Linked DNA regions of Mus musculus. The protein of the gene in region 5 interacts with the protein of the main gene of each other region in a pairwise test. Links are inferred from orthologs where the notes say so. Each region holds a gene or a part of one and is shown on either strand. Other genes may lie near its edges.

Region 1 (4,523 bases), on a different chromosome or scaffold from region 5:
CTCTAGAGAACCTAATACACACATACTGGGTAAAAACTCTACCACAGAGCTACATCTCAAGGCCCCAAACTTTCACTCAGGAAATTCATCTGAAGGGGGGAAGGTTGGAAGACGGGCAGATAAGAGGGGATGGGGAGATGAGCAGGCCTGGGATGCATGACGTGAAATCCACAAAGAATCAATTAGAAGTTTTAAAAAGATTTTATCTGGGAAAACAAATGCCTGAACGCAATAAGTCAGGTATGGGCTGGAGGAGGACTAATGAAGAGTGATTTGGTTTTGTAGATATAAAAAAAAATTTTTTCAAGACAGGGTTTCTCTGTGTCGCCTTGGCTGTCCTGGAACTCACTCTGGAGACCAGGCTGGCCTCATATTTGCTATATAGCCCAGGTTGGCCTTAACCTCCTTGTCCTCCTTTCTCTACATCCTGAATCCTGATTTTAGAAACTTGTGTCATAACTTGGGAATTAGACTAGCCTGAGCTAAGTTTCTGGCCAGCCTGAAAAATTAAAGATGTTATCTTTAACAATTAAAAAAAAAAAAAAAAAAAAAGAGGGGCCTGGAGAGATGGCTCAGAGGTTAAGAGCACTGACTACTCTTCCAGAGGTCCTGAGTTCAATCCCAAGCAAACACATGGTGTTTCTGTCTGGTCCTGTCTCCCTCTCCACTCCCCTTACCCCTCCTCCTCTCTTAAGACTCAACCAAACTGAGTAGAATTCAGAGATCTGCATGCCTGTGTCTCCTGAGTGCTGGGATTAAAGGAATGTGCCACCACACCTGGAACTAAATTTCTTTACCTGAAACTTTCTCTGTACCATGCTGGCCTGGAACTCATGTCTGTACTCCCATCACTTATGATTGATTCCTTTCCAGAGCAGCCATGTTGCTGGATTAAAATTCCTCTACACAGCCGGGCAGTGGTGGCGCATGCCTTTAATCCCAGCACTTGGGAGGCAGAGGCAGGCAGATTTACAAGTTCGAGGCCAGCCTGGTCTACAGAGTGAGTTCCGGGACAGCCAGGGCAACACAGAGAAACCCTGTCTCAAAAAAAGACCAAAAAATCCTCTACGCAGATCTTTGAAAGAAAAATCAAAAACAAAAAAAAAAAAACCAAAACAAAACAAAAAACCAACCAAACAACAACAAAATCAGAATGATCCAGTCATCATGACGACACCTGTAATTTCTTGGGGTTTTTGGTGTTTTGTTTTTTGAGACAGTTTGTGTGTGCAGCCTTGGTTTTCCTGAAACTCCCTGTGTAGATGAGGCTGGCCGTGAATCCCATCAAGTGTTGGAATTAAAGATGTGGGCCATTACTTCCTGGCCTTTTTGGTTTTGTTTGGTTTGGTTTTGAGCTAGGGCCATAAGTTTTCCCAGGTTGGCCTCAAAAACATAGCAATCCTCTTGCCTCAGCCTCCAAAATCCTGGATTACAGGATTTTTTTTTTTTAGGATTTTTTGAATACTACAAAATTCCACTGCATATGTATTACAGACCCCTGGTTTGAGATCACCCTTCAAGACCCTATTCATACTGAACACACAAGCCCACATTAGAAAAGACAAACCAGCTAGTGGCCACCATTAGCCTCTTCTGAATTGAGCCCGTCTGGCCCCGCCCAGGACCGCAGAGGTTTCTAAGGACCCGCCCACCGGTGCTAGTTTCCCAAAAACCCGTGCGGCAGACTCCAGCCGCTCCAAGATGGCGACTCCCATGCATCGGCTCATAGCTCGAAGGAAAGCGTAAGTGAGATGCTTGTGGGGTGTGCAGGAGGGCTGGGGGCGTGCAGACGCCTGTCCGCTAGCTAGTGAGCGGGCGCAGGCTGCTGAACTGAGCGGGATTTGAAGAGAGTTCGAAATGAATCCAAGAATTGGTCGTTGGGTGGTCTGTGTTCCTCTGTCCGGTCCACATGTCAAGGGTAGCCTGGATGCTTGATCCCACATCTTCCCTCTCAAGATCCCAAACTTTTCCCTCTTCAGCGTACCTGCCTCCTTCCTATCGCCCTTTCTAGAAACAAGCCTGTCTGCAATGCCTATTAATTCCCCATCGACCGTTTCACTTTCTGCAGCTCTCACTGTAAATAATTATTTTAGTACAATCACTCACAGACAGTTTCTCTGAAGAAAAATGTATTCAAGCTACGCAGCTTAACAGTTTTATTGTGGAACCTGTTGATACTCTAAACAAGTACAGCTAGTGGTTTAAATAGCTTTGTAGGAGCCGGATGGTGATGGTACATCCAAGCATTCAGGAGGCAGAGGTAAGCAGATTTCAGAATTCGGGGCCAGCCTGGTCTACAGAGTGAGTTCCAGGACAGCCAAGGCTACACAGAGAAACCCTGTCTCTCTAAAAACAAAACAAAGTTAAGCTTTAAAGGGGATAAGAGGCTGTGGTGAGGAAAGGCAAAAGGCCCAGTTCAAGTCAGTTCTAGAAATTCATCTGTGAGGGGTGACATTTGAAAACAGACTAAAAGCCATAGAAAGGACTGAGTCAGCAGAGGATTTGGGGAAAGATAGGAAATGGTATATTTGCTATGAGTCTGTTAGAATTTGGGGGTGGGTTGGGCAGATTTAGAGACAGGATTTGTCTGTGTAGCCCTGGCTGTCCTGGAACTCACTCTGTAGACCAGGCTGACCTCGAACTCAAGATATCTGACTGCCTTCAGTATGCTGGGATTAAAAGCTTGTGCCACCATGCCCAGTTTGAATCTCAGTAACTATCAGTCCTGGTGGCAGATGCCTTTAATCCAAGCACTGGAGAAGCAAAATCAGGTGGAGTAGCACTGAGTCAAAGCCAGCCTGATCTAAAGAGCAAACTGCAGGCCAGCCTCAGCTGTGTAGGGAGACCCTGTCTCCGAAAAGAAAAAAAACCAACCAACTCAATAACTACCCATTCAGTGGTGTAAGCGATGTAAGGGGCGGAGACCAGTTACTTGAACATGAATTTGAGTCCAGCCTGGGCAACATAATAAGACTTCATCTTAAAACCCTCCAGTAATGTCATACCCACTCTGCATGGCTGTGTGACATGCATGTCATGTTGTATTTCTCAGACCTATCAAAAGTCATAATACGAACCTGAAAGGAAACAGTTTATACATCTAATACCTGCATTGCTTCGCACTTTGCTTTTGACCTAAGCTGTGGTTTATGAGTTTAAAACCCGAGTGTTGGGCCTGACGTTGGTGGATTGTGCTTTTGATCTAAGCACTCAGGAGGCAGAAGCAAGTGGGTCTGTGAGTTCAAGGCTAGGCCAAGCTGGGTATGGTGGCTCACACTTTTAATCCTAGTATTGTGTGGCAAGTGTCTTTAACCCACTGAGCTGTCTCACCACCACCATTTTTTATTAGTAAGTTAAAAAGAATGATAGCCAGGCACAGTGGCACATGCCAGCACTTGGGAGGCAGAGGTAGATCTATGAGTTTGAGGCCAGTATGGTCTATAGATGGAGTTCCAGGGAAAAAAATCAAAAGCAGAATCAACCAACCAAATGAACAAGCTTTTTCATTTATGTGTGAATAGGAGTAGAGGTCAGAGGACAAGTCGTTGGGGGTCAGATCTTTGGGCTTACAGCAAACACCTTATCCACCCACCCTTTTCCCAGCCTTAAAAGTGTTTTAATGGGTTAGGGGGTCTGGCTCAGTAGTAGAGCATTTGTGAAGGAGGCTCTGAGTTTGATATCTAGCATTACAACAAATAAGGACCTTCATTATCCTTTGTCTTCTGAGCTAAAAATGTTGGTCCGAATACATGATTATTGGAATGGAAAAACTTAAAAAAATTTTTTTTAAAGATTTATTTCTTTATTATATGTAAGTACATTGTAGCTGTCTTCAGACACTCCAGAAGAGGGAGTCAGATCTCGTTACGGATGGTTGTGAGCCACCATGTGGTTGCTGGGATTTGAACTCTGGACCTTCGGAAGAGCAGTCAGGTGCTCTAACCCACTGAGCCATCTCACCAGCCCAAAATTTTTGTTTTTATTATTTTGCTTTGTTGAGACAGGGTCTCTTGCTCTGTAGCTCAGGCTAACTTTAAACTCAGAGCCATCCTCCCACATTGGCCTGCAAAGTGAAAGACTATAAGCATGAAATACCGGACTGGGCTTAGAAGAGCAAGACTCAGTTCCTGTTGCGCCCCAGGTTGCACGCTTTGAACACCGTTTGTGTGCTTGCTAGAGTCAACATCACGTGATACTTTAATGCTCTTCCAGGTCAGAAAGTGTCCCAAGACAAAACTTAAGGCTTGTATTCTGTTATTTTCTTTGTAGTGAAGCCAATAAGCAACATGTAAGATGTCAGAAATGCTTGGAATTTGGACATTGGACTTATGAATGCAAAGGGAAAAGAAAGTACCTACACAGACCTTCGAGAACGGCAGAGCTGAAGAAAGCTTTAAAAGAAAAAGAAAATAGATTATTGCTGCAAAGGTAGGTTTACATGTAATATCCAGGGGAACTTATAAAAATATTTACAGAATCAGCTGACCTCAAGTTTGCTGTCTTCCTGTCTCAGTCTCCTGAGT
Region 2 (4,401 bases), on a different chromosome or scaffold from region 5:
GGTTCCTGCCAGTGATAGGAAATAGGATTCAGGAACAACACGAATTGCAGGACAAACCAATCAGGCCTAACAAATTTGCTCTGGGAATCCATATGCAAACAGTCAAGAGTTGGATGCAGGATATAAACACCCTAAATATTCTAATGCAAAAGCATTTGACGGTTCAGAATCCCCTCAGTGTTGACCGAGTAACTCTATATCTTACAACGTTAAACAAGAAGAGCTTCACTTATATTGAGGCTCTTTTTATGTTAGAGAAACATGAAACACTGCAGTGTGGACAGGTCTCTGCCAAGGGGCTGGACATTGCCTTACCTTTGCTACCTTGTAGTCACACAAGTACTCCACCTCATAATTGTTTAGATTCCTTTTGGTGATTCCAATCGATTTACATGTGAGCTTTTCTTTTCTACATAATTCCTGGAGAGTATCAAGTGAAACTAGGCAAGGCACACACCAGGCTACAATAAGAAAATAGAATTCTTTACCAATAAAATAGCTACTAGGCTGAAACAAAAACTTAAAACCCTCTCAACTGACAATGTTATAGTCTAGAAACACATATAACAAGAAGCTACATATGTGTGTTTAAGAAAAAGTTATAGGATAAAGAACTAGTTTTGGTAAATTGGTTTACTTTCCAGTGGACATCTATCCCACTTTTACCCACATTGCCTAATTCTTGCTTGGCTAATTAAAATATTTCACATCTAAAATTTCTTAGGGTTACATATAAATGCGAAGGTAAAATGAAGTAAATTTTTTTACACAGAATAAAACTGTTCTCCTAATAAACAGCTAAGACATTTTGTTAGAAATATATCTAAAAGATATTCTAAAATGGCCACAACTTAAAAGTAACTTCACTTCTTTTAGTCAGATGATAAGAATTTAAATATGAAATCCATATCCTACTTTTTCCATTTTGTAAAAAGTCGAGAGATTTTAGCTTCATTTATTTTGTGCATGGTAAAATGTATTTTCATCATGCATAAGCCAGAGAATTCTACTTTAAGTGGAGAGCATAGTGAGCTTTGTAATACTTGTTTCCTACAGTTTTCAAGCCAGCAGTTACAAAACAGAATACAAGGTGGAAATATTCCATAAGCCAGACTTGAAAATCAGACATACTAAACAATACCCGTACGGAGGCCAGAAATGAACTGTATTACATCCTGGATTTAAAAATATAATCACACAACTGATGTCTAGAAAAATGTAACAAACTTCACTACCCCTACTATCAGGATAAATACAAGATGATCAAAAGTCCTCTGCTCTACCCGTTGGTGGGTCACCTAGCTACACAACTTTGGGAAAGTCCCAATCTTTTTGTGTATGGGATTCACTGGAAAAAAGTGTGTTTTGTTGAGAACAGAGGTGACCAAAGAAAATGTATCTCTAACTCATCAAGCTGTCTTTAGTTCTCCGAAGTGGTGGGCAAAAACCTTTTTAAGGTAAGTTTCCAGGAAGGGACAGCGTAACCGCTCAAATTTTCCCCGCAGTCCTTCCTCATCCTTCCCAGTAAGGACTTCATTGTCAGAAACCAGTGAGGATAGCTTCCGAACTCCAGTGACTGCAAACAACTCATATTTCTGGCACCTGCAAAAAGACTTTCCTTCAAATTTGCCAGAATACATTTATTTGCTTAGGTGTGGCGGTTTGGAGACAAGAAAGCTGTAAAAAACGTCTCATAAATCGCTTCTAAAAATCTTAAGGCTGTTTTGTCTTAATGCTAATCTCCTTATGCTAATCATCTGCAAAGGAGAGTCCTCTTGTTTATGTAACCAAGTTGTTTGCTGTTTTATTTATCTTTTCAATTTTTACCCCTAGCTGAGAATCTGAAAACACAACACTATAATGGAGGGTGGTGTTGAATCGGAGGATCAACGTACATATATTCGTATGAAAACGTCATAACGAAGCGTTACGTGTAATTACAATGCACCGCCCCTCGCAACAGAAATGCTACATTTTGGGGGCATCTCGAAATGTTAAAAAGAAAAATTGCCAACACTTGGTTTACAAAATCCCACAGCCAAAAATGATGAGAGGAAAACGCCTCATTGTCTAGATTATAACATCCCGTTTATAAAAACCATTCCACCATCCCATCCCCACCACGCTTCAAGGAGGCAAGAGCTACCTACGGGAATAATAGTGTCACCATCTGGGTGGAGCGGAGGAAAGAGCTGGAGAACAACCTTTTCATTCCAGAAGGCTTTGCACAACCCAGACTTTCAAAGGGCGCGCGACTCGAGCGCACGCACGCGCACTGCGTGCCCCGGCTTCAGCATCCACAGAAATAACCTGCAAGTTCCAGCCGGGCCCCCCAAAGTTTCCCGGAGCTCAGGGCTGCGTGTGCAGGCGCTTCACGGCGAGGCCAGACCCGCTCGAACGCAGGCACCAGGGGATTCCCTTTCTCCAGCACCGCACCTCAGCCCCGCCACCACCCCCAACCCCCGGCTCGGAGGTGGCGACCGCTACCGCCGCAGCGCGTGTGCTTTCCTGCTCACCCTTGAATAAGGCACCTCGTGCACACTCGTCGCCAAAGACCGCGGCCCGCGGAGCTCCGGACCACGCTCGCTGGGAGCCGGCGCGCCTCTCGCCCGCAGACGGCCGCGAGCGTCGCGCCGTCAGGGTCTCCGCGCGGCGGCGTCTCGCCGTTCGCCTGGCCTTGGGCCTCGGGGGCGGACCTGGAGCCCGGTGACACCGCGCTCCTGCCTCACTGCCCCGTGCCTTGGCCCTGGCCGCCGCCATCTTGCGGAGCTTTCATTCAAACTGGCGCGGTCAGCCCGAAGAACTCAGCTGGCCACACGCCCCGCCCCGGCCCGCCAGGGACTCCGGAGCGGGGAGGCTGAGAGGAGCGAGGCGTTCTGACGTCAGCGGAGACCGACCCCTGCGGTGGTAGCTACCGCGCCTGCGCCGCACGGTGGGGGCGGGAAGGGGCGGGGCCTTCCGTGGAAACTGGCCCTGCCCGTCGCTGGCTTGTTACTCGCTTTGACTTCGGAGGTCGCTTGCCATGATTCTTCATGCGGTCCCCTGAGTCGCTTCACAAAGACCTGACGTGCCCGCCACAAAACGCAAAATAGGCTGTGCGGGGTTAGTGTGCGCAGGTAGCTCCTTTCCCACTCTTGTTCCTCAGCACTTCAACCCAACGAAGCCCCACTACTTTTCCTTTCACTCCACACCACCAGGACTCAGGATCTTAAAATTTGACTGCATGTTGGGTTCACCTGGAGAGGTGCTGTCTGTTTAAACCACTCAAAGAGATTCTGATGAGTTGATGTGGCCATGTAGCAGCTGGACTCAAAGGAAAAGCCTGACAATTGTGAGAATCCAACCAACCCCGCCAAGAACCCTCTTAGTTAAGGCAAACGTAAAAGGTACACTTAGGACAAGGACTTACTAACATTAACAGACTTAAGCTGAGGGCAGGTTTTAGCCATATATGCTTGGGGAGAGTCAGGTCGTTCTCGGTTTTACCACTGTAAATCTGAAAACTTGTAAGAGGAACCATTATACACAAAAGACCATCGGCAATTCTGTAAGCCAGTCATGTCAATGCTATTCACAAGCACATACTGCCTGTCTTCTCTTCAGCCAAAACAGCCTAGCTGCCTTGACCTCTCCATTGCTCCCCTTCCAGCCACTTCCCACCCAGCTAAGGAGACTTTAAAACAGAAAATGAAACAAGCCTCAGACTTGCTTTGTCTGAGAAGCATGTTCAAGTCCTGACCCTTTTGCTTCCACTTTGGTGAGCTGGAATTACAGGTGCTAGCCAAAGCTCCCTTCTCCCCCAATAAACACTTTAAACTGGAAATCACGGTCTAGATCAAAGAACTGACTGACTCCCCTTCATGTGCTGCTCCCTCTCACGTGACTAGATTTAACTCAAATGTTACTTCTTCAGAGGCCACTCAGGCATTCTGTCTGGCTTTGTTCTCTAGCTCTTCTTTAAAAGCTTTTGTCAAAAAACGGTCAGGGTAGAGTCTTACAAATATTTTTGGTCTTGCTAAGTTTTATTTTAAAAATTGGCAAAGGATGCTGGAAGCAGAGGATAGCTTGGTGGAATAGCAGTTGTCTGATAGATCCAAGGCTCTGTGTTTTTTTGTTTGTTTTTTAGACAGGGTTTCTCTGTGTAGCCCTGGCTGTCCTGGAACTCACTTTGTAGACCAGGGCTGGCCTCGAACTCAGAAATCCACCTGCCTCTGCCTTCCGAGTGCTGGGATTAAAGGTATGTGCCACCACTGCCTGGCTCCCTTGTTTTTCTTAATTCTAGGGCATAGAGTAGAGCCAGCCACTCCAACCTTCCTCAGTGTCTACTCTCTATTCTCAGAGTGTAGAAGAGTAGGCCCGAAGCCTCTCAGGAAACCCATGAACACAGAACCCCAGTCTTCC
Region 3 (4,660 bases), on a different chromosome or scaffold from region 5:
CACCGACTCTGTCTTCGCTGTCACTAGCCGCTCCAGCTCATCTGCCTCCTCTGCAAGGTGGGCACAAAGCAGTCGTCAGGCCTGGCTTAGTCCAGCCTCTTTCCTGGCCCTGGTGGGCCGGGGACTAGCACACGGCGAGCGGTCCTCAGGCCTGTTTCAGTCCAGGCTCCATCCTCCCTCCTAGCCCTGGCGGGATGGGACTGGCACACAGTGAGCGGTCCTCAGGCCTGGCTCAGTCTAGCCTCCCTCCTAGCCCTGGAGGGTAGGGGACTGGCACGTGGCGAGCTTCTCCAGAGCCAGTCCGGCTCTCCTTGTATCTCCCTGCCTCTCCCTTTCTTCCCTAATCTACAGAGTGGCCCAGAGCCCCGCCCACGGGTAACCATGGGAGATGAACCTCTCATCCCTTTGTGCTCCTGCTTGTCCCTGCTTTGGAGAAACTGCGCGAGGGCATGAGCTGTCCCATCCCTGGCTCTCTGCTCAGTCTCAGTTTACCATATGGATTGGGTGTCCAGCTCTCTGATCCGCTTGTACTTAGACCACCCTTGCCCCCACACCACCACCAAAATCTCCACAGCTAAGAAACTCACTCTCCCACCCTCACATATTCCCACTTAGGGGACACAGAAGCCCAGGCTCACTGGGTGCTCACCACGTGAAGCCTAGATAGAGACTTACCCAGTGCTTCCTCTCTTTCTGCCAGCATCTTCAGGTACTCCTGGTGGCGCTGAAGCCCAAAGGGAAGAGGTGAAGGTGTTAACTGTTAACCTGACCAAATCTAAGATGGCCTGGGAGATGGGCCTCTGAGCATACTATGCGTTATTATCGTGATTTTGTTTACTGAGATGGGAAGACCTGCTCACTATGGGTGGTGCCATTCAGTGAAGAACCAGCTGCTTCAAGCTCCTGCCACCCTGACTCTCCTGCCAGGATGAACTGGGTGCTTGAACTCAGAGTAAACCTTTCCTCCCTTATGCTGCCTTTTTTTCAAGAGTATTTTACCACAGTCACAGAAAAAGCCACTAAAACGGAAATAAACACAGCGAGAATGGCCTTTCGGTCCACACATGGGACAGCCCTGTGTACTCCCATCGTATGAGAGCATGGTTCACGGAGCAAATTCTAGAGGAGACTCATCCCTCACACGCGGATCCCCAGCGTCTCTATACGCTGCTCCCGTCACACTCACACTGCGGTCCCATAGCTGCCTCTAGCAGACCTAGCCAAGGCTGGCCCTCCCCTGGGAGGTGAAACCCTACCCCACCCTCAACCACACCTCTTCCCGAAGTTTCTTCTGCTCTTGCTTAAGCCGCTGCTTTATCTCTTCAATGGCTGCCTTCTTGCGCTCTACCTTCCGCTTGTGGAAGCCTGTCAGGTACTCCCTGCAAGAAGGAAGAAGGGGAGAAGCCAGGGGAGTCAGGAGGAGCCAGGAGGAAAGCAGGGCTCTACAGAGCTCCATAAGTTGCCTGACTCTCTCCTACCCACCAACCCATTTTACCCTCTCACAGCCAACCCTTAATTTATAGATGGGGACTCTGAGGAAGAGACTAGGATACTCATCCAAGGTCACAGACAATGCAGTCACAAGTCATTCAATGACAAAGGTACCTTCGAGAAATGAGTTGTGAGTCCTTGCTGGACCATCAGAGTGTACTTACATAATAATCCTGGGTGGTATAACCTACCACACACCTATGCTGGAAGCTATAGTCTCAGTACGCGCTCCATCACTAACCAAACGTCACCTAGCTCACCTGGCCTTCCTGCCCCTTGCTAAGTACACAAAAGGCCAGGTGGTCAATACACAGAGCTGGTGGTCACTGTTCCCACACTGGCAAACTTTATTTCATAGGAGTCACTTCTAGTAAGGCTTTCTAATAATGCCTTCACCCAGACCCCAAAACTCTTTCACTGAACCAACCAACAACCAGTCCTCAAGGCCACCTGACTCCTGAACCCACCTGGGTCCTGTGTGGCGGGTCCTAGGAGTGCCCCCACCTTCCTGACTCGTGCTTCCTTCTTCCTGTCTAATCTCTGCTGTTCCTGAGTTTGCTGTATTGGAAGTTAATTACGCTTAGTACCTTATTCGAGCTAGGCAAATGGTCTAATAAATTAATTCGTTTATATTGTCTTGGAGACAGGGACAAATTGTCCAAATGCCCATACCGTTCTTGAACTTTCCCGCACAGGGTTTTACTTTGCAATCCTCCTGCCTCAGCATCCGGGATGGCTAGGATTATAGGTCTGCACTACCAGGCTTTGCAATTACGGTTTCCGTTGGTACACTACACCAGGGGTTTTAACTGTATTTTGCTACTGTTATGGATCGTAATGTAAATATTATCTCTTTTCCGATGGGTTTAAGGGGGTCGCGACCCACAGGTTGAGAGCCATCAGACCACAAGGTGCTATTTACGGTGACACTAAAAAGCAGTTCAGCCTCTGGTCTCAGGCTTGGCTGGCACGCAGTCTGGTGCGTGAATCAATGAACTAAACCTCTCTCATCCCATCGGCTCGTCCTTCGTCAACAACGACTGGGAGCCAGCTATGGGCTGTGACAATAGACGGCGCGGCACTCCGGTGGTCCAAGGCGCAGCGCTGAGAGCCGTAAACAGCGAGGGAGGAGCGGGCGACTCCATCCCCCGAGGTGGGGAAAGAGGAAGGCGAGCTCCAGCTACATCCAGGGGCGGGGCCGGAAGAACCCTCCGCGTGGGCGTGCGCGCCCTGTGCCTGGCGCGCTTCCCCCGGCAGCCCGACGGGAGTCTCTTTCCACCCTGCCACTCACCGCCGCTTCTCTTCATCAAAGTTGAGAACGAGCCGGGGCCGCCGGTCGTCTCCATCTCTTTTCTTCTTCTTCTTGTTGCGGCCCATTGCAGTGAAGCTTCCGGCAGCGTGGCCGCTTCTGACTTTAAAACACTTCCGGGTGTAGCAGTTTCAGATTTCCGGTAGGGCGCTCTTCGTGGCCTTGTTCCACAGTTCCGCAGATTTGGCTCCACCTTTTAAAGGAGCCTCCCGTCCTGCCTCAGCTTTGGTTCAGGTCTTCTGAACAATCCTCCCAGAATGGCTTCGGTGAGAACTAGGCTCCCCGATTCCATCATCTGACCTGCCTCGAACAAGCGCTCAATCTGGAGTTATTTATAAACCGCTAAGAATTACTGAACTTAATTGAATTCAGATGTCAACTCTTTCATGATTTCCTTGAGCGAGGGAAACTGCCTAGATGCAAACACTGGTATTCCTTTACAAAGTATGTGACTCAAAAGCAATTGCCCCCCTTTAAAAAAAAAAGATTAAATCATAAATTATGGGCTAGGGGAGGTGGCATACATCTTTATCCCAGTACCTGAGAGGCAGAGGCAGGTGGATCAAAGTCAGCCTAAGCTACACAGTGAGTTCCAGGACAACCAGAGCAGAGCTAGACAATAAAGAGACCCTGTCTATAAATAAATAAGTAAGATTAAAAAAATACTGTGCCTAAGTGAGTTTAGGTCTACTGTATGAGGACCTACAAGGCCAGAAGACGGTATGAAATCCCCTGCAACTAGAGTTACAGATGGGGGCTGGTGAGATGGCTCAGCAGGTAAGAGCACCCGACTGCTTCCGAAGGTCCTGAGTTCAAATCCCAGCAACCACATGGTGGCTTACAACCATCCCTAATGAGATCTGACTCCCTCTTCTGGTGTGTCTGAAGACAGCTACAGTGACTTACATATAATAAATAAATAAATCTTAGAGTTACAGATGGTGTGTGAGTCATGTGGGTACTGAGAATCAAACCTTGGTCCTCTATAAGACAAGTAGGCACTGTTAACCATTGGAGTCATCTCTCCAGCCCCCAAATTGCCTTTTTCTTTGTGTCTCACTTTCCTATTTATAAAATAGAGATCATTGTAGTGACTTTGTAAGGCTGTAAAGAGGTGGCCCTGGAACTCTGGCATGCACTTAAAGGCTTGCTGAAATCCAAATTGAGGGTTCAGGGTTCAACACACTTGGCAGGGCCCCAGAATGTCCATTTCTAGAACATTCTCTGGTGACCCTGAATATTGCTCCTGCGTGCAGCAAACTGAGAGCCGTGACTGTGGTGGGACAAGTGTGTCGGGTCAGAAGTGCATAACACAATATTCTCCCAGACTCAGTTGGTGCAGAGGGAAATCTCTGAGTTCGAGGCCAGCCTGGTCTACAGAGTAAGTTCCACGACAGCCAGGGCTACACAGAGAAATCCTGTCTCAAAAAACCAAAGCCAAACGGGGTGGGGGGAGAGCAGGGATTGTGCCAGTGATCAAATGTGAGCTAGATTGTCTGAGCTTTGGTGTTTGGTCTCCCTTCCCAGCTTCCTGGCCACTCCCTCAGAAGCTAATATGTCTGCTCAGAGAGGTGGGAAGCAGGCTGTGATAATGAGCCTCACTTCCACGTAGGTGTGGCACTCCATGAATGTCTGATTCCTCCCACACGGGTCCCCCACTCGGAGATTCTATGCTGGATGCTGAGAAGAAGTTATCTTTAAAGTGTGGGTCGGGGCTGGAGAGATGGCTCAGTGGTTAAGAGCACTGACTACTCTTCTGGAGATCCTGAGTTCAAATCCAAGCAACCACATGGTGGCTCACAACCATCTGTAATGAGATTAGTGCCCTTTTCTGGTATGTCTGAAGATAGCAACAGTGTA
Region 4 (4,504 bases), about 49 Mb from region 5:
ATGCAACTGCAAGTAGAATTAACATAACTGTCTATGTAAGTAGCCAGAGTAACCATTACACTTCCATCCTCTAGTTACTCAGGTAACAGCTGGGCACAGGTCTGTAATCAGTCACTGCGGAAGTGATAAGTTCAAGGCCAGCTAGACAGTAAGCTTAGTGATTCTCAGTGATTCACAGGTTCAATCCCAGTACTTAACACCTAAGTACTATGATGCTGACAGTGATAAGAACAACCAAGCCAGGAGTAGTGTGCTGAAGAAAACGGGACAAAGGATTCCTGATCTTTTTATGTCCCCGTGTTTGTCCTTTGTCATTGTTGTCCCTTCATTACTTCCTTTCCAGTCACAGAAGGCGGTTCTGCTGGACTCCACTCTCATCACAGCATTGCCTCACAAAGTCTCCTAGATTCTGTCTCTAAGCTCCTCGAAACCACTCATCCCATCATCCTCCCCAGTGCCCCTCTCCGTCATCTATCTTCTACCACACTGACAAATCATCGGTCTAAACTGACATATGTGGCAGTCACACCACCTCACCTCCTCAAGGGTAAAACACCACTTACAGGTATGAAACATGTAAGACACCACTCCTAGCTGATGTCTTCTTTATTGCTCAGAAGAGAAAGTTTATCTCCTAAGTGTCAAGAAAACAACTCTAATTTGCCACTTGCGTCTTATCTTCTATCACTGTTCCTATCTCTGACTTCCTAGAAGCAAAATGCCTTGCCCCAAGTGATGACTGATAGAGGGCAGGATGGAATGAGGCTTTGCATACAGGAGACATCATCACTCAAGTACATCACGAGCCCTTGCTCTGTTGCTCTGTATTTGTACAGAGGATTCTCAGTCAAAAGCAAGCAATGCACCTGGTAAACATTTATCCATCAACATCAAGTACCAATTCAAATATCAAAGACCATTCACTCTGTGAAATCATTCTAATTTTCCCAAGGCAGATTTCTTTATTCCTTCCTTGGTACACTAAAGCATTTTGTAAGTATCTTCATGTTACAGTACTTTCAAACTATGGTTGTTTCTTATGCACCTTTGTTAACTCCCTACATAATTCATGGTTTACTGTGTGCCCTCAGGAAATGCTGGCAGTCACTAGGCGGTACTGCCTACCTTATTGTGAGCATCTGTGTGCCGGATGACATTCCTCAAGAGGACTTTCCCCAACGGAACCCGGGACATTCTTTAATCTGAAATGAACCAATAATATGCAATAAATTTATTTTTAGTAAATTATAAAGAAACAAAGAAGTGAAGAAAGAAAAAAAAATCACTGAACTTAGAAAATCGAAGGGAAAATTTTCCTTTCACCATTATGATACCCAACTATGGTGCATGTAAGGATGAAGGGATGATGTACATTAGTCTTTAAAATTGCACAAAGCTGCTCAAAATTTGTTTTCCATGAGCACCATGTTATTCAGTCTTCACGATTCTCTGTCAAGTAGTCAAGATCCATGACGGATCAGTTCCAGGACCCTAAAGGTACTAAATCCAAGTATGGCCTGGTAAAGCATTTGCCTAGCCTAAGAGCTACCCTGGATAAAGTCCCTCGGTGACATCCATGCACACACAAAGCAATCCTAGGGCGCTCATTCCTCTTTTAGACTAGTATAATATTTGTATAGAAACTATGCTCCTGTGTATTTTAAAATAGGACTGTTTTTTTAGTCAGGTTCTTAAGTGGCCTCGGCCAGCCCTTAACTCATCTTCTTACTGCCACCACCTGCCAACAGACATGCTCTTCCAGTTAGGATGAGTGAGGGTATTTAGATTAATTATAATACTTAAAACTATGCAAATGTTATGTAAATGTTACGATGGAGATTAAAATAATGACCAAAGTGGGAAAGGTCTGTACGTGATCGATACAGATACAATATGATTCCCCAGACATTTTCGGTTGGCCTTTTAACCTATGGGGATCCCCGAGTTTGGACTCTACCCCAACTCCTCAAAATCAAATTCCTTAAAGCCGTAACCTGCCCCCAGGCTGCATGGACTCAGGCAACGGGTGTGTTAGTGTCCCGGCTAGAAATCAAATCTCAAAACTCCCCAAAATTCGCTTGCAAAGATATAAACACGAAGATTTGAAGGCATCAAACACCACGTATGTCAACAGTAAAAAAATAAACTGAATTGTAAAAAAGTTTTTAGATGACCTAAATATCTCTACTCAGGACATTTTGTTTCCTACACTGTACGGAACTTTCCAAAACCCAGAAGACAACGATATTCACATGTGTAGCTAGCAGGGGCTTGGTGCCACTGTCCCGATGCTCACTCACCCCTCGATCCTGAGGAAATCAGGCATCCTGTTAGTGTGAGACGAAGAACCACTCCATTACAAGATCTCCTCCGACCCAGGAAGCCAAGGAGTCAGGGCTGAAAGGCAGCTCTGCAGCTTCACCCGAGTCCTTCGTGAAAACGCAGCCTTCCCACCGGTTACTGTGCCCTCCTCACCCGAGGCCCAGGCTACGGCTGCCTTCCCCCAGCCGAGCCCGCCCGGCGGCTCGCTCTCGGGGACCCAGGCCAGAGGAGGCGCAGGCGCGGAAAGCGGCCTGCGGGCGGGCGGACCGGGGCATTCCCCGCTCTCGCTGGGCTGGGCCGGCGCCCGGCGGCTCGCTTTCACTCCCGGGACAGAATGGGGACACAGGGCTTGGGCACGGCCTTCCGTTGGGCCCCAGGAAGTATCTAGAGTGCCTCGGGGGGAGCTTGAGGTTTCCAAGGGGACGTGGGGGAAAGCGCCCCCATGTCTGTCAGCGGGCTCCCTGCCCCGCCGCAGCCCCGGCGCTCTCGGCGGCCTTCCCTCGCAACGCCCTCCCGACACAAACACACACACACACACACACCCATACCGTGCGCCGCAGCCTCGCGTGGCGGGGTGGGAGAAAAGGTGGCGGCTTCCTTCCGGGCCGGAAGTCGTGCTCCGGAGAAACGCTTCCCTCCCACCGGAGACTCCCACAGAGCGGGCTCGCCGGTCGCCGTGGAAGCTGACGGGTGCAGGAAGGAAGGCGGCGCTCTCCCGAGAGACAAGCGGGACGGCCTGCGGAGGAGCCAGTCCGGACCCGGAGAAGAGAACCGGAACTGGATATAGAGACACAGCTCTACTTTGCGCTCTCCGGACCCAGTTAGATGGTGTACCGGGACTGGTTACCATGGTAACCGGAGTCGCAGTTTGTCGGCAAACTGAGAGAAGACGTGCGCGTTTCCCCCACGTTTGGATTAAGTGTGTATTCGTTGTTGATTTAATCTAACTTTAATATATAATTTGAAGACTCTAAACCTCTTTTTAAAAATATTGGGAACTTTCTCTTTTGCAGAAGGAGGGTGATTGAAGGAGGGCGGAATCTTTGACTATTGCTCTCACATAATGTTCCAGCTTTAAATATTAGTGTTCTTAATCCTTATCTTTTTTTTAAAGATTCATTTATTTATTATATACAGTGTTCTGCATATATAGCTCTATGTCAGAAGAGGCGCCAGATCTCATTATAGAATTGTGAGCTACCATGTGGTTGCTGGGATTTGAACTCAGGACCTCTAAAAGAGCAGTCAGTGCTCCTAACCGCTGAGCCATCTCTCCAGCCCCCTCATCTTTATTTTGAGTATATACACTGCTTGCTCAAGGCAACATAGATGTCTGAAGTTTGCAAGAACGTAAGCATACTGGCTCCAGTGCGCCTACTTTTAACTACTATACTGTCTGTCTATGTATCTGTCTCCCCCGACCCCAGTCTCTCTACCCGTCTTTCTTTCACGCACACACACACACCCCTACCTCACAATTCCAGGTCTGGAAGGCACCAAGTCAGCCAATATCCAACTATTGGAACAAAAGTCCTTTCTGTTCCCTCTGTATTTATGAAGACCAGACGGAAGTACAGGTACAACGTAGGAATTTAGGAAGTGGTTCTACTCACAGACTGTAGGAAAGCCAAGATAAAGCAGTATGGGTGTGCAATCTTTTAGTTAAGACCCGCAGCACACTTGCAAAAGCCTTCCTCCTTCCCTGAAAGAAGAAACAGGGCAGTAAATACCTTACATGCCTTTTCTCAAGTCCTGTCTCTCTGCAGGTTCCAAAGGCCTGTCTCATCACCATCATGACGGTGTCCTCAAAGGGTCTTCTTACCCACATTTCCCAGTTCTGGAATATGCTCGATGATTTGGCTGAAAATGACCCCGAGCGCTACCGGAACTTCATTCAGCAGGAGTTGAAAGATGGCAAACAGCTCTGTGTCAACCCAGAACCTCAACTCTGCATACAGACCAAGATCCTAGTATGTAGAACTGATGCAAGGAAGGAGAGGTCTTCAGTAAAACTACTCTGGGTTAGCCAGGGGATACAGTAGCCTTTTCTAGCGCTACTTTAACACAAGAGAAGTTTACTAAAACTCTCTGAACAGAAAATGAAACCACATGGAAGATTTCACTGAAGGAGTAAAAATAAGAAATTCATACTTGGTATTTTAGAAATCCCCTAATGCAACTT
Region 5 (3,225 bases):
AATAGGCTTCTTTACCCAATATTCAACTGAACAGAAGGTACCAGTGGTCAGTAAAACAATGGAAGGAGCGGAGAGGCCTGAGAGACGGTATGAAAAACTCAACTGCCAGATTATATAAGGGTTCTTACTGGAAAATATGCAGAATATATAGATGATACATGTGTGTGTGTTTATATATACATATATGTCTTATATGTTTATATATATGCATATATGTATATGCATATACATATATGCATATACATATATGCATATATATAAACACAATACATACACACACATACACACACAAACACATTCTCATAATGTACTTTTTAAAACATCAGGTTTTTACATTGGTGGTACATAGTCTTTTAAAAATCCTTAATATTTATCTTCTAAACAAAAAAATATGACTAGTAATTATTAGTTTTGGTAGTGTCCTAGAAATAAATTATATGTTATAATCCAACTCAAGAATTGGTTATAAAGATTTTAATTTCTCCATATACAACTTTCCCCAAGGGTGAGTTCTGCTAAACTTCCCAACATCCCTTTGTGAGCTTACAGCCCCAACAGTTTTTATCTTGAGTACATGTGACACATCTTTGGTGGCAGCACTCTGGAGGCAGAGGCAGGCAGCTCTTTTTTGGTTCAGGGCCACCCTGATCTACACAGAGTTCAAGGACCCCTGGGCCCTGTCACTGCCAACACGGACAGTCAGGGGCTGGGAGAGCTTGGAGCTTTTACTCTAGATGCATTTCTAACAAATACCTTTGTAGATCCTCAGGTCCTAACACTTGTTTAACCTGCTCACTCACATCCTTGTTAATTATCTCACACAGTTTACCAACTGTGCTGACCACCACACACAATGATGATGAACTGTCTGCAAAAGAGAAAAGAAAGCATAAGATATTTTTAAAGAATTTCCAAAATCATTACACTCACCCTGGTTCAGTTGTACTCACTTTATTTTTGTGGCAGAGGGATTAAGATTTCTATTAGTTTGCCCTCTACCACCCTTTGCCATTTCTTTAAGGCACACTATCTCCTTGAGCCTGGAGTCCACATTTTCTTGGCTAGGCTCAATAATAGTGTTTCCATTCTCCACAGAGCGAGGTAACAGACACTTGTGAGCTATCCAGCTTGGGATGCTACTTTTGGTACTCAGGACTGCAGAGAGTGTGTTCTTACCCGCTGAGCCATCTCCCAGCCCAGGGAGGGTTTGTTTTAAGCAGCGTCTCATGATTCCTAGGCTGGCCTACCAGTTATGTATCAAAAAATGATCCTGAACTGAACTTTAATAAAAGGATTTATTTGCAAGTGTGTATGAGTGTGCACATGTATACATGTGCGCACAAATGTGTTTGCACACATGGAAACCAGAAAAGAGTGCTGGAGTCCTTGGAGCTGGAGTTATGGAGATTTAGCATGTCTGCACTGTTATATGGGTGCTGGGACATGAACTCCAGTCCTTACAAGTTCCCAGCAAGGCCTCATAACCAGTGAGGCAGCTCTTACAGCCCGTGACCTTGAACTTCTAATCCTCCTGCCTCCATCTCCTGAGGATGTTCATCACCTTGGATTCTATATGTGCACCACCACACCCTGTTTATTCAGTACTGAGAATCAAACCTAGAGTTCATGCATGCTAGGCAAGCATCTTCCAACTAAGCTACATCCCTCCCGCTGGTTTTGTTTTTTGGTGTTGTGTATGTCTTTGTGTGTAATTAATAGGAGTTCTGGTGGTACCCACAAGCAATCTGAGTACTTGGAAGGTGAAAGACAAAGACCAGGAGTTGAAGGCCAGCTTTGGCTACAGTGAGAACAAGGCAACATTGTCACCAAACCAAACCCAACAAACCCAACCCAACCCCAACCCCAATCCCCCCAAAACAACCAAATCCCAGGATAACCCTAAACCCTAAACAACCCCAAACCCAAACCAAGCCCCAAACTTCTTTTTAATTTATTCAGAATAATTCTAGAATCGATTCCCCAAATGACAAAGGGTCATCACCTAATTCTAAGAGCTCCTGAAGGTTCCTTACAGCGTTGTTCATTTCTCCAAGCCTGGTGTACACTTCATTCATCCGGGGAAAGACTCCATTTAAAGACTGCACATCAAATAGCTTTTGGAAGTGAGAAACGATAGCTTGCAAAGTTTGAGAGTTCGGCGTGCTGCTGGTCTATAGAAAGAAGGCGAAAGGGTAGTTTACAATTTGAAATAATATTAAATAGTTGACATAAGCCTTTAAAATGAGAACAATTATATAAGTATCAAACGTTACCTCTTTCTGGTTTTCAACTTCTTCCAACATGGTATCCACCATAAACAACAGATCTCCGACTTTGACACCTTCCTTTTCATCCAGTTTCTTTAAGCTATGCCAAGGCACCAGTTCTGCAGACAGTATTTTCAAGGACTTATACAAATCCTTAACAAAAGAAACTACATGGCATTACTGGTTATAGAATAGTTTATATAGTAACACTAATAGCACAGTAATCATGGGGGCCTAAAAACACATAGCTATATAATAACCACCATTAGTATTTTTTTAATACCATTGCCAATTTAAAACAAGTCTGGATGTTCTAAGTAATAATGTTATTTAAGTAGTTATATTGTTTTTTAAAATTATTTTATCAGTGTTGGAGATAGCCCAGGCTTTCCATCACATATACACAGCAAATATTTTACCATGGAGCCATATTTCTAGTCTACATTTTAAATATTTTTGTAGCAATTTTGGAATGAGATTTACATACCAAAATATTAACCTTTACTAAGTACACAGTTTGATGGTTTTCATCTTTTCACAGTGGTACAAAACAGATCACTGTATAAGCTCAGAACTCATCTGTCTTCTCAGAAGAACTCCCACACCCAGAGCTGGAGACATACTTAGCCGTCAGAGCACTTGTCTTACAAGAAGAGCCAGGTTCAGTTCCTGACACCCACATGATGCTTCGCAGCCATTCATCCCTAGTTCCAGAGGATCTAAAGCCCTCTTCTGACCTTCTCAAGAACCAGGCTATCATATGGTGCACAAGCATACATACACCAAGGCAAAAATGTCCATACATATAAGAAATTTAAAGAATAAAGATTAAAAAAGAAATTCCCCCACCCACTCACAGTCCTTTCCACTCTCCTCCAGCCTCTGTAACTACTAATCCTCTCCGGATGCTATGAATTTGCCTATTCCTGGCATTTTGTATAAATGAAATAATAAAAGT
Region 6 (3,943 bases), about 55 Mb from region 5:
TGCCTCCATAAAGTTATTTTTACAGTTACTTCCTGATTACTAGGAATAACCAAATTTAATATCTGGTAGCAGTAACAAGTGTTTTGTTTATGTGCATTTTCCCAAAAATCCTGACTATATTTTAAAATAGGTGGCTAAAGAGATGGCTCCTTGGACATGAGCACTTGCTGCTCTTTCCAGAAGATGTGCGTTCATCTCCAGCACCCATATCAACAGGCTCACAACTGCCTGAGAACTCCAGTTCCAGGGGATACAATGCCCTCTTCTGGCCTCCGCAGGCACCTGTTGTGCAAGCGTGGTAGACACAGAATAGACACAGACACAAATTAAAATAAATCTTTTAATGTATATATATATTATGTATATAATTGTGTCAGGTGTGGTGCTGCACACCTCTAATCTCAGCACTTAAGCGGCCAAGGCCAGCTAACAAAAGAAGTGAGCTTAAGACCAGTCTGCTCTACATATCCAATTTCCAGGCCAGTAAGAGCTATATAGTAGTATCCTGTCTCAAAAACAAACAAAACCAACCAGCCAACCAAAACTTCTTAAATACAATTTTATCTGAATGTATAGGTACATGCGTATGTGAAAATTCACATGAAAAATAAAGATGAGCAATTTACCAATATATACATTATAGTTCAAACTCCAAGTCCTTCTACTTCCTCAAATGATTCTTCTTCTCACACTAATAGTAAGATTAAATTCTAAGTACATAGGTGCGAAGGCACCATTCTATTAGTTTCTGAGCTAAATTTGTGTCTCCCCCTCCCTACCCAGGCTTATTTTTCTGTAGTAATAGAACAACCAAAAATTAGAAAATCTTGGCTTACGGTATAGAATAATGTGATTCTGGGAAAAAAAAAAATCAAATAGACACAACTTCTAAAATGTAATTTCGAGTAAAGTTTATTTTGTGTTTGCTCACCTTGTATGTTAGAACTGTTCAGAAAGCACATAAATGCAAAACCTAATTTAGAGCCACGTGTGCAGCATGAGCACTAGGAGGAACCCAAGGTCAGGCACTGAATAGCACCTGCTCTCAACCTAGGAACTAAACAGCAGGCACCCCTGTCTTCAGAAGCTGTCAAAGTGGCAGCAGGGTGTAAGGAGCTGTCACATAGGTTTCACTATGTGACAAAAAAACCAACAACAACAACAACAAAAAAACCAACCAGCCAATTAAGAAAACAGTAGGTCCAAGAAATACAAAAACACTTACCAGTGCAAACAAGATTGCGGCATAAGCCATTTCGGAAATCATGAAAGACACGATTTCGATGTTCCTGGAGGGTAGGGGGATATATAAAAACTGAGTAAAATTTATAGACAACTCAAAATTTTCATCATGGTTTCTCTTACCCAATCAGTTCTTCAACCCCAAATTTGTTTACACAACTACCTATGCTTCTGTAGCAGTCTAGAGCTGTATCACTCAATGTCTGTATGATACACTTCATTCCATCATACAAGCATTCTATCAAAAAGGACAGGCATAATAAGCCATGCTGCGATCATAGTCACGTAACATTTATGACAAATATAGTGTCATATTTATTCTATTTTATTATCCTAGTGAACGTTTTACCATATCCAATGTATAAACTGCATCATAGCAAGCATGCACATACAATCTGGTACTGTCTATGATTTTAGGTATCCGATATGGGATCTCAGAACTCTCCTTTGTAAGGAGGAGTTACTGTATATTAAAATCTAGAGCAGTGCATTCTGTAAAAAAAAAAAAAAAAAAAAAAAAAAAAAAAAATTGCACTGGTATTCTCCAATAATGGAGTCACCAGCCTCAGGGATTTGACTAAGTAACAAACCTTTCAATTGTATTTGCTTTTACCTAGTCTAATGGGTACATGGAGCTATGTAATAAAGTTATTGCACTAAACAGAACAAATTTAGAAATTCCCCCCAAAAGAATGTCTCCTGTGCCCTTCCCTCCCCACAGGATTTCATGTCACTCAGGCTGATTTCAAACTTAGTATGGAACAGATAATGACTCTGAGCTTTTCACTTACTTTAAATGCTAGGACTTCATGGACAATCTGACATTTCTTTTTTTTAAAGATTTATTATTATTATTACTATTATTATTAATAATAATGTCTAAGTACACCGTAGCTGTCTTTAGACACACCAGAAGAGGGCGTCAGATCTCACTACAGATGGTTGTGAGCCACCATGTGGTTGCTGGGATTTGAACTCAGGACCTTCTGAAGAACAGTCAGTGCTCTTAACCACTGAGCCATCTCTCCAGCCCCAAGATCTGACATTTCTGGACTGCTTTTTAAACCTATTGGTTTAAGTGAAGGTCTCTTTGTCTACTAAATAGTCCGTTCATTTGTTCTTTTTCTGGAACACTGCTCTACCACTAATACAGCAGTACCTACCTTAAGACAACAGTTTACTCTCACACACAAGGCATTTATACAACATTATAACAAAAGAAAATATAAGAAATACTTAGGAAAATATTTCTTTATTAAATCTATGCAAGTTCTCGAAATTATCCTTACCTGCCTCATTTTAGCATGGATATAAAAGCAAGAGTAGCCCAGCTGAGAAATCTTCTTGGCGAGTAGCTCGACTCTCTGGGAGGAGTTGCAGAAAATGATGGACTGGTTTATCTGAAGCTAAGCACAGAAGATGAGAAAGATGAGAAAGACAGAAGCATCTGTTTATCCAATCATGAAAATATCTAGCCAAGCTTTCAGATGAAAATTTGTCGACCTAGAGAAGATTATCTCATAAGGGCCACCTAACTTGCAGAGACAACACAGTAATGTCCTACAATACACCGCTGCTAACACTGACTCAGCAAATAAGAACCACTGCTTTGAGGCTACAGAGATGGCTCTGCAGTGAATAGCACACACTGTTATTCAACAAGACCCAAGTTCAGTTCAGTTCACACAGTGTGGGCCCCAACTACCTGTAACTCTCCTTCGGGCGCTCTAACACCCTTTTCTGGATGCTTCCAGAAACTGCACTCATATGCGTACAACCCCACACAGACACAGACTCATTAAAATAAAGAAAACAAACAAGTTAAAACAACACTGTTTCTAGAGAAAATGACAAGTACTTGTGAGCCTCTGGTGACATTTTATAAATTGGTAAACATGCCAATTTATGTGTTTTCTTTGAGCATGTCTTATTTAGTATGTCTATAGTCCTAACCAATATAACCCGTGCCTGCAGGAGGTTTACCCAGTACATGTTTTCCCTGTGTAGTACACATCAGTCCCCCTGTGCTTCAGAACACAGGTAAGCACGTCGGCAGCAGCGAGGCCGTCATTTTGGAATGAATGATGAACAGCACCAAAATTTGAAAAACAATTGTAGCATTTATAAGTAAAACAAGAAGACAGAATGTCTGTCCTCTTCTTGGACCTTAGCTGGGATCATTTTTTTTTTTAAGTCCACAATGTATATGTCTAAGAATAACCAAAACCTTCAGTACTAATTTGGGGGTCACAAATAAATTTTAGCAATTAGTATTCACAAAGGATGAACTGTAATTACAGTAAATTATTTAACAATATAAAGCACCTGTGTCAATCAGTTTCAACTGTAAGCCAATTAAAGCTACTTTTTACAAAACAGTAAGATTTTTTACAGTGAAAATAAAGTCAAAAATAAAATTAAAAAGAGAGAAAGAGAGAGAGAGAGAGAAAGAGAAAGAAAGAAAGAAAGAAAGAAAGAGAAAGAAAGAAAGAAAAAAAGAGAAGAGGAATGGAAAGGAAAGGAAAGGAAAGGAAAGGAAAGGAAAGGAAAGGAAAGGAAAGGAAAGGAAAGGAAAGGAAAGGAAAGGGAAAATGATCTAATTGTCCAACTTGCTAGGAATTAGTGAAGGACAGGACTCAGCACAAAAGCCCACTACTTACCCTGGAGAAAAGTGTATTGAGGCAGTGCACTTTTTGGCGCT
Region 7 (3,943 bases), on a different chromosome or scaffold from region 5:
AGACTTCTAAAATCTGACCTTACATTGCTAATGTTGTTCATTGACCACACACTTCTATTTAGCCACACTCAGAGATCCTTGTCAGGAACAGTACATAACCCTTGTTAGCAGTGCAATGAATACACACAAAGTGACAGTGTCCCTTCAAGACACCAGGAAAGCAGATTTCTTAAATGTGCAACTTATTTTGTTATAAGATATACTGCTTAGATGTAATTTGTAATTTTAATGGATCATTTCAACTTAAGGTATGACCACAGCCACAGCAGAGGGTGAACCAAGCGGGAATAGTTTACCTTTTCTTTTTCAAAAACTTCTAGGAAATCTAATACCATTCAAATTCTAGTTTTCTAAAACCCTCACACACACACACACACACACACACACACACACACACATACACACACACACACACACGCATGCGTTTTGAAATGGTACATTTAGTTGTTCTTTTCTTTTTGGCTTGTTTGTATTTTGATATAAGGGATGGTCTCAGTCTGGGATGGTCTCATTTTATAGGCCAGCCTTGCTTGGATGTTACTATGCTATCTCAGGCTAGCCTTGAACTCTTAACAATATTCCTGTCCCAACCTTCTTGAGTGTAGTTAATTCTAAATCAATGAAGTTCTACTTAACATGTTCCTATGTTAGCATTTATTTACCTTTAATGTTTCGTTGAATTCTGGATTGGTACCCGTTCTGATTTTGGTCTTACGCTTGTTGTTTCGGGACTTGTCTGGAAGAAGGTATGACTTGACATAACTGTAAATAACAAAAGATAAAAATCATCATTTTTGCAAATATACTCTGCTAGAAATATCCCAGGATTTCAGTTAGAAAAGGGAATGGGTTAGTGGAGAAAAGAGATGGAAATGAAGAGACTTTAGTTTGTACAATCGAATATCATAAATATAATGCTGAGCTTTCTATAAGGAAGGAACAGTGATGAATATTGTTTGAGAACAGGCTTTGTGGGACCACCCAGGCATCATTCCTTTTGATAGTCTTTGGTTTTTACACTGCTGTGTATTTGTTTTGTCAAGTGTAAAAAGTGGCATGGTAACAATACTTAACCCACAAAACACAAGAGGAGCTGTAGTATTGTCCTCCTCCATAAGTGGAAGCTGCTAGCATCGATAGTCTCACAACCTTTTCTAGGGGATATATGTCTCTTCGTTGCCAGTTCTATCTTCTAATGTCAGGGCATAGACTACCGGGGTGAGTGAATGACAGGAAACAATTAAAAGGAAGAAAGGGAAAAATGACAAATTTACAGTTCAACCCAGTACCTTGGCTTGTGCTAGCTAGCTCTTTTAGAAGCCTCTTGGGACAGGGACATCAGAGTAGACAGAGACATGCACAAGATTGAAACATATTTTACCAGAGTTCTAAGGCACATGTGTTAGAATTTCAGATGGTTCCTTTCCATGCTGGACAAATATTTGTCACTGAGCCATTTAAAATCTAGACACTAGGAGGTGAACAAAGTAGTCACACCACTAACTGAGAAGCTATTCGTAATTGATAGATTCAGGGAGAGAGAAAATGGCTTTCTTTGATGCAGTGACACTGGGTATAACCAAATATATTCCAATGGAGGCCTCATGCTCAGGAGTAGTAGACCAACTCCATGTTTTTTGTTTGTGTTTGTGTGTGTTTGTGTGTGTGTGTGTGTGCGTGCGACACTATCTTTTTTCTGAGAGAGAATAAGAACATGAAGTTCATAGGGGTGATCTGGGAATTTTAAGAGGGGAAAGAATGTAATTAAATTATGCAACATTTTTAAACAATCAGCTTGCCTTCACCACGAGTGGCCTCTGTGCAAGCTACAAGTTTGTTACTCCTGAATCATGTCATGGCTTCTTTCTTTCTTTTTTTTTTTTTTCCATTTTTTATTAGGTATTTAACTCATTTACATTTCCAATGCTATACCAAAAGTCCCCCATATCCACCCACCCCCACTCCCCTGCCCACCCACTCCCCCTTTTTGGCCCTGGTATTCCCCTGTACTGGGGCATATAAAGTTTGCAAGTCCAATGGGCCTCTCTTTCCAGTGATGGCCGACTAGGCCATCTTTTGATATATATGCAGCTAGAGTCAAGAGCTCCGGGGTACTGGTTAGCTCATAATGTTGTTCCATCATGGCTTCTTTCAAATCAAGTAACCAAAGATACAAACACTATCTTTAGACTTCAGACGAGCTCTTAATTGAAGGAATCTTTAACCTCTGCTGACAAGGAAGTGTGCATGCAGACAGAGAAGGCAGTTGTGGAGACAGTAGAGGGGCATCCTCCGTGCTTACGCATCTGTCCTCTGTTTCTTTTCATCTCCTGTGGCCAGGTTTCTGCAGCTCTTGACAAAAATGTATAGCCCGCCGGTTTTGTAGCAGTAGCTGATGTGGAGAAGGATCTCACCGGTGACTTTCACGTTGCCATAGTCTCCCGTTTCACTGTAAACACTCATCATGCTGTTAAGGCTAGTCTGGGAAAAAAAAGATGGTAGACATGGCTCAGTGCTATTCTAAAGCTCTAGTCACAGAATCCACCCCCATTAATCAATTCTCATTGCTGTTCTATGTAACTAGCAGGGGAGTCCAAAGCCAGAGAAGAAAGCAAGTCACTAGCTTTGCTTGTTTTGCTTCTGGTACATACAATTCTAACCCGAGAAGAATACCCCATGTAGATCCATTAGGAAAGGAGGCAGGACGTTTGCTGAAAGAGGAAGCATCTCCTTTGGGTTAGCTGAAATCTTTTATGTCTTGTAGTGAGTATGGAGTCATTTAGTGATTTCTAATATAATCTTGTTTCTTTATCCCTGTCACTATCTGCCTTTTGCTGCTAGACTTGAGTGCAATGTGTTTAAACATCTAGAATTTAATGATCAGGAAAAAGAAGAGTTCACTCATTATTATGAGTTAACATAAAAGTGTGTTTCTCTACACTCAAATGGTGAATGTTGTCACTCCTGGAGGAACCACAGCTGCAGCCTTAATAAAGGTATGGCAGGACATTCAATACTCACAAGGCTAACTTTGTAGCTGTGTGGCTACATAGATAGTCCATGACTTATAGCTTTGATATTCCATGGAATAGTAATGAGCAAAATATAGCACCAAAAAATTAAAGTGCCTCAACCAAAAACATAAAAAATTCTATAAGGATGAGTAAAGATTTTTGTCAAGATATTTGTAACCTGAGATGCATATTTTAAGTCAATACAGCATTATTATTCAGTGCTAGAAACAAAGACTATCGTAGTAACATGATGGACACAAAAGACCAGTAACATTTGTGAATGGTGCAGTAGTTTCATAACTTCTTTTTCACCACAGAGAAGCAAGGACCATAGCAGTACAAATAGCTGAGATTTGGGATTTGTTTTAAAAGATAGGTATGTAGGCATGAAAGCTATATATGGAACATCTATCTGTCATATATCATATCTGGATATATGAATTTATAAATCATGTGTGGATATATGAACATATCTATGTATCTTTCTATCTATTTATCTTACTATATGTCTGTCTACCTGTCTATGAATGGATTTTATTGTTATTGTTTTATGAAGGACTTTGTATTTTAAATATGATGTATTTCTTCAAGGAACAGGGTCTATCTGGCTTAGCTCATAATCTCTTTTAAGCTGAAGTCAAAGGTAACAATAATCCAAGAACTCTAAAATTGCATACAAGCTATTTCTTAGAAAGCCAATAAGTAACTGAATTTGTTTTTCCTATTCTTAAAATAATGCAACATGAATTTTAAGCTTTAATTACATAATAAATTACCTGAGGATCATTTTTAAATGAAGATTAAGTCTGGAATAGTCTGACATTTTAATATTTTGACAGATATCTAAAACTTAAGGACCCAAATTATGTGTGCTTATATCCCAGGGTACCATTGTAAATTCATGTGTATATCATTGAAGATTTGAAAGG

What was found.
Region 1: the proteins of Cep70 (region 5) and Zcchc10 interact in binary tests that used the Homo sapiens proteins (3 or more experiments, as listed by UniProt). The two-hybrid records come from large-scale screens. The link is inferred for Mus musculus from reciprocal best matches to the Homo sapiens genes CEP70 and ZCCHC10.
Region 2: the proteins of Cep70 (region 5) and Suv39h2 interact in a two-hybrid assay, tested with the Homo sapiens proteins (2 studies listed by BioGRID and IntAct). The link is inferred for Mus musculus from reciprocal best matches to the Homo sapiens genes CEP70 and SUV39H2.
Region 3: the proteins of Cep70 (region 5) and Nol12 interact in binary tests that used the Homo sapiens proteins (3 or more experiments, as listed by UniProt). The two-hybrid records come from large-scale screens. The link is inferred for Mus musculus from reciprocal best matches to the Homo sapiens genes CEP70 and NOL12.
Region 4: the proteins of Cep70 (region 5) and Nkapd1 interact in binary tests that used the Homo sapiens proteins (3 or more experiments, as listed by UniProt). The two-hybrid records come from large-scale screens. The link is inferred for Mus musculus from reciprocal best matches to the Homo sapiens genes CEP70 and NKAPD1.
Region 6: the proteins of Cep70 (region 5) and Ddx6 interact in a two-hybrid assay, tested with the Homo sapiens proteins (2 studies listed by BioGRID and IntAct). The two-hybrid records come from large-scale screens. The link is inferred for Mus musculus from reciprocal best matches to the Homo sapiens genes CEP70 and DDX6.
Region 7: the proteins of Cep70 (region 5) and Sytl5 interact in binary tests that used the Homo sapiens proteins (3 or more experiments, as listed by UniProt). The two-hybrid records come from large-scale screens. The link is inferred for Mus musculus from reciprocal best matches to the Homo sapiens genes CEP70 and SYTL5.

Annotation. Positions count from the first base shown.
Region 1 is NC_000077.6:53,323,000-53,327,522, forward strand, and holds the start of Zcchc10 (zinc finger CCHC domain-containing protein 10), read left to right. Parts: upstream 1-1,689; 5' UTR 1,690-1,701; coding exon 1,702-1,742; intron 1,743-4,269; coding exon 4,270-4,428; intron 4,429-4,523.
Region 2 is NC_000068.7:3,472,187-3,476,587, forward strand, and holds the start of Suv39h2 (histone-lysine N-methyltransferase SUV39H2), read right to left. Parts: upstream 2,801-4,401; 5' UTR 2,761-2,800; coding exon 2,517-2,760; intron 2,026-2,516; exon of another isoform or gene 1,846-2,025; coding exon of another isoform or gene 1,834-1,845; intron 462-1,833; coding exon 316-461; intron 1-315. UniProt on the Homo sapiens protein: Histone methyltransferase that specifically trimethylates 'Lys-9' of histone H3 using monomethylated H3 'Lys-9' as substrate.
Region 3 is NC_000081.6:78,933,198-78,937,857, reverse strand, and holds the start of Nol12 (nucleolar protein 12), read right to left. Parts: upstream 2,926-4,660; 5' UTR 2,869-2,925; coding exon 2,783-2,868; intron 2,703-2,782; exon of another isoform or gene 2,219-2,702; coding exon of another isoform or gene 2,164-2,218; intron 2,050-2,163; coding exon of another isoform or gene 1,959-2,049; intron 1,380-1,958; coding exon 1,274-1,379; intron 725-1,273; coding exon 676-724; intron 51-675; coding exon 1-50. UniProt on the Homo sapiens protein: Multifunctional RNA binding protein that plays a role in RNA metabolism and DNA maintenance. Participates in the resolution of DNA stress and the maintenance of genome integrity by localizing to sites of DNA insults.
Region 4 is NC_000075.6:50,614,358-50,618,861, forward strand, and holds the start of Nkapd1 (uncharacterized protein NKAPD1), read right to left. Parts: upstream 3,108-4,504; 5' UTR 2,871-3,107; exon of another isoform or gene 2,301-2,870; intron 1,203-2,300; 5' UTR 1,195-1,202; coding exon 1,126-1,194; intron 1-1,125. Other genes in the region: Pih1d2 (PIH1 domain-containing protein 2), read left to right, coding at 3,652-3,672, 4,089-4,292.
Region 5 is NC_000075.6:99,295,222-99,298,446, reverse strand, and holds part of Cep70 (centrosomal protein of 70 kDa), read right to left. Parts: intron 2,435-3,225; exon of another isoform or gene 2,421-2,434; coding exon 2,274-2,420; intron 2,172-2,273; coding exon 2,003-2,171; intron 869-2,002; coding exon 754-868; exon of another isoform or gene 1-753.
Region 6 is NC_000075.6:44,628,729-44,632,671, reverse strand, and holds part of Ddx6 (probable ATP-dependent RNA helicase DDX6), read right to left. Parts: coding exon 3,903-3,943; intron 2,649-3,902; coding exon 2,532-2,648; intron 1,290-2,531; coding exon 1,226-1,289; intron 1-1,225.
Region 7 is NC_000086.7:9,958,552-9,962,494, reverse strand, and holds part of Sytl5 (synaptotagmin-like protein 5), read right to left. Parts: intron 2,482-3,943; coding exon 2,303-2,481; intron 763-2,302; coding exon 663-762; intron 1-662. UniProt on the Homo sapiens protein: May act as Rab effector protein and play a role in vesicle trafficking. Binds phospholipids.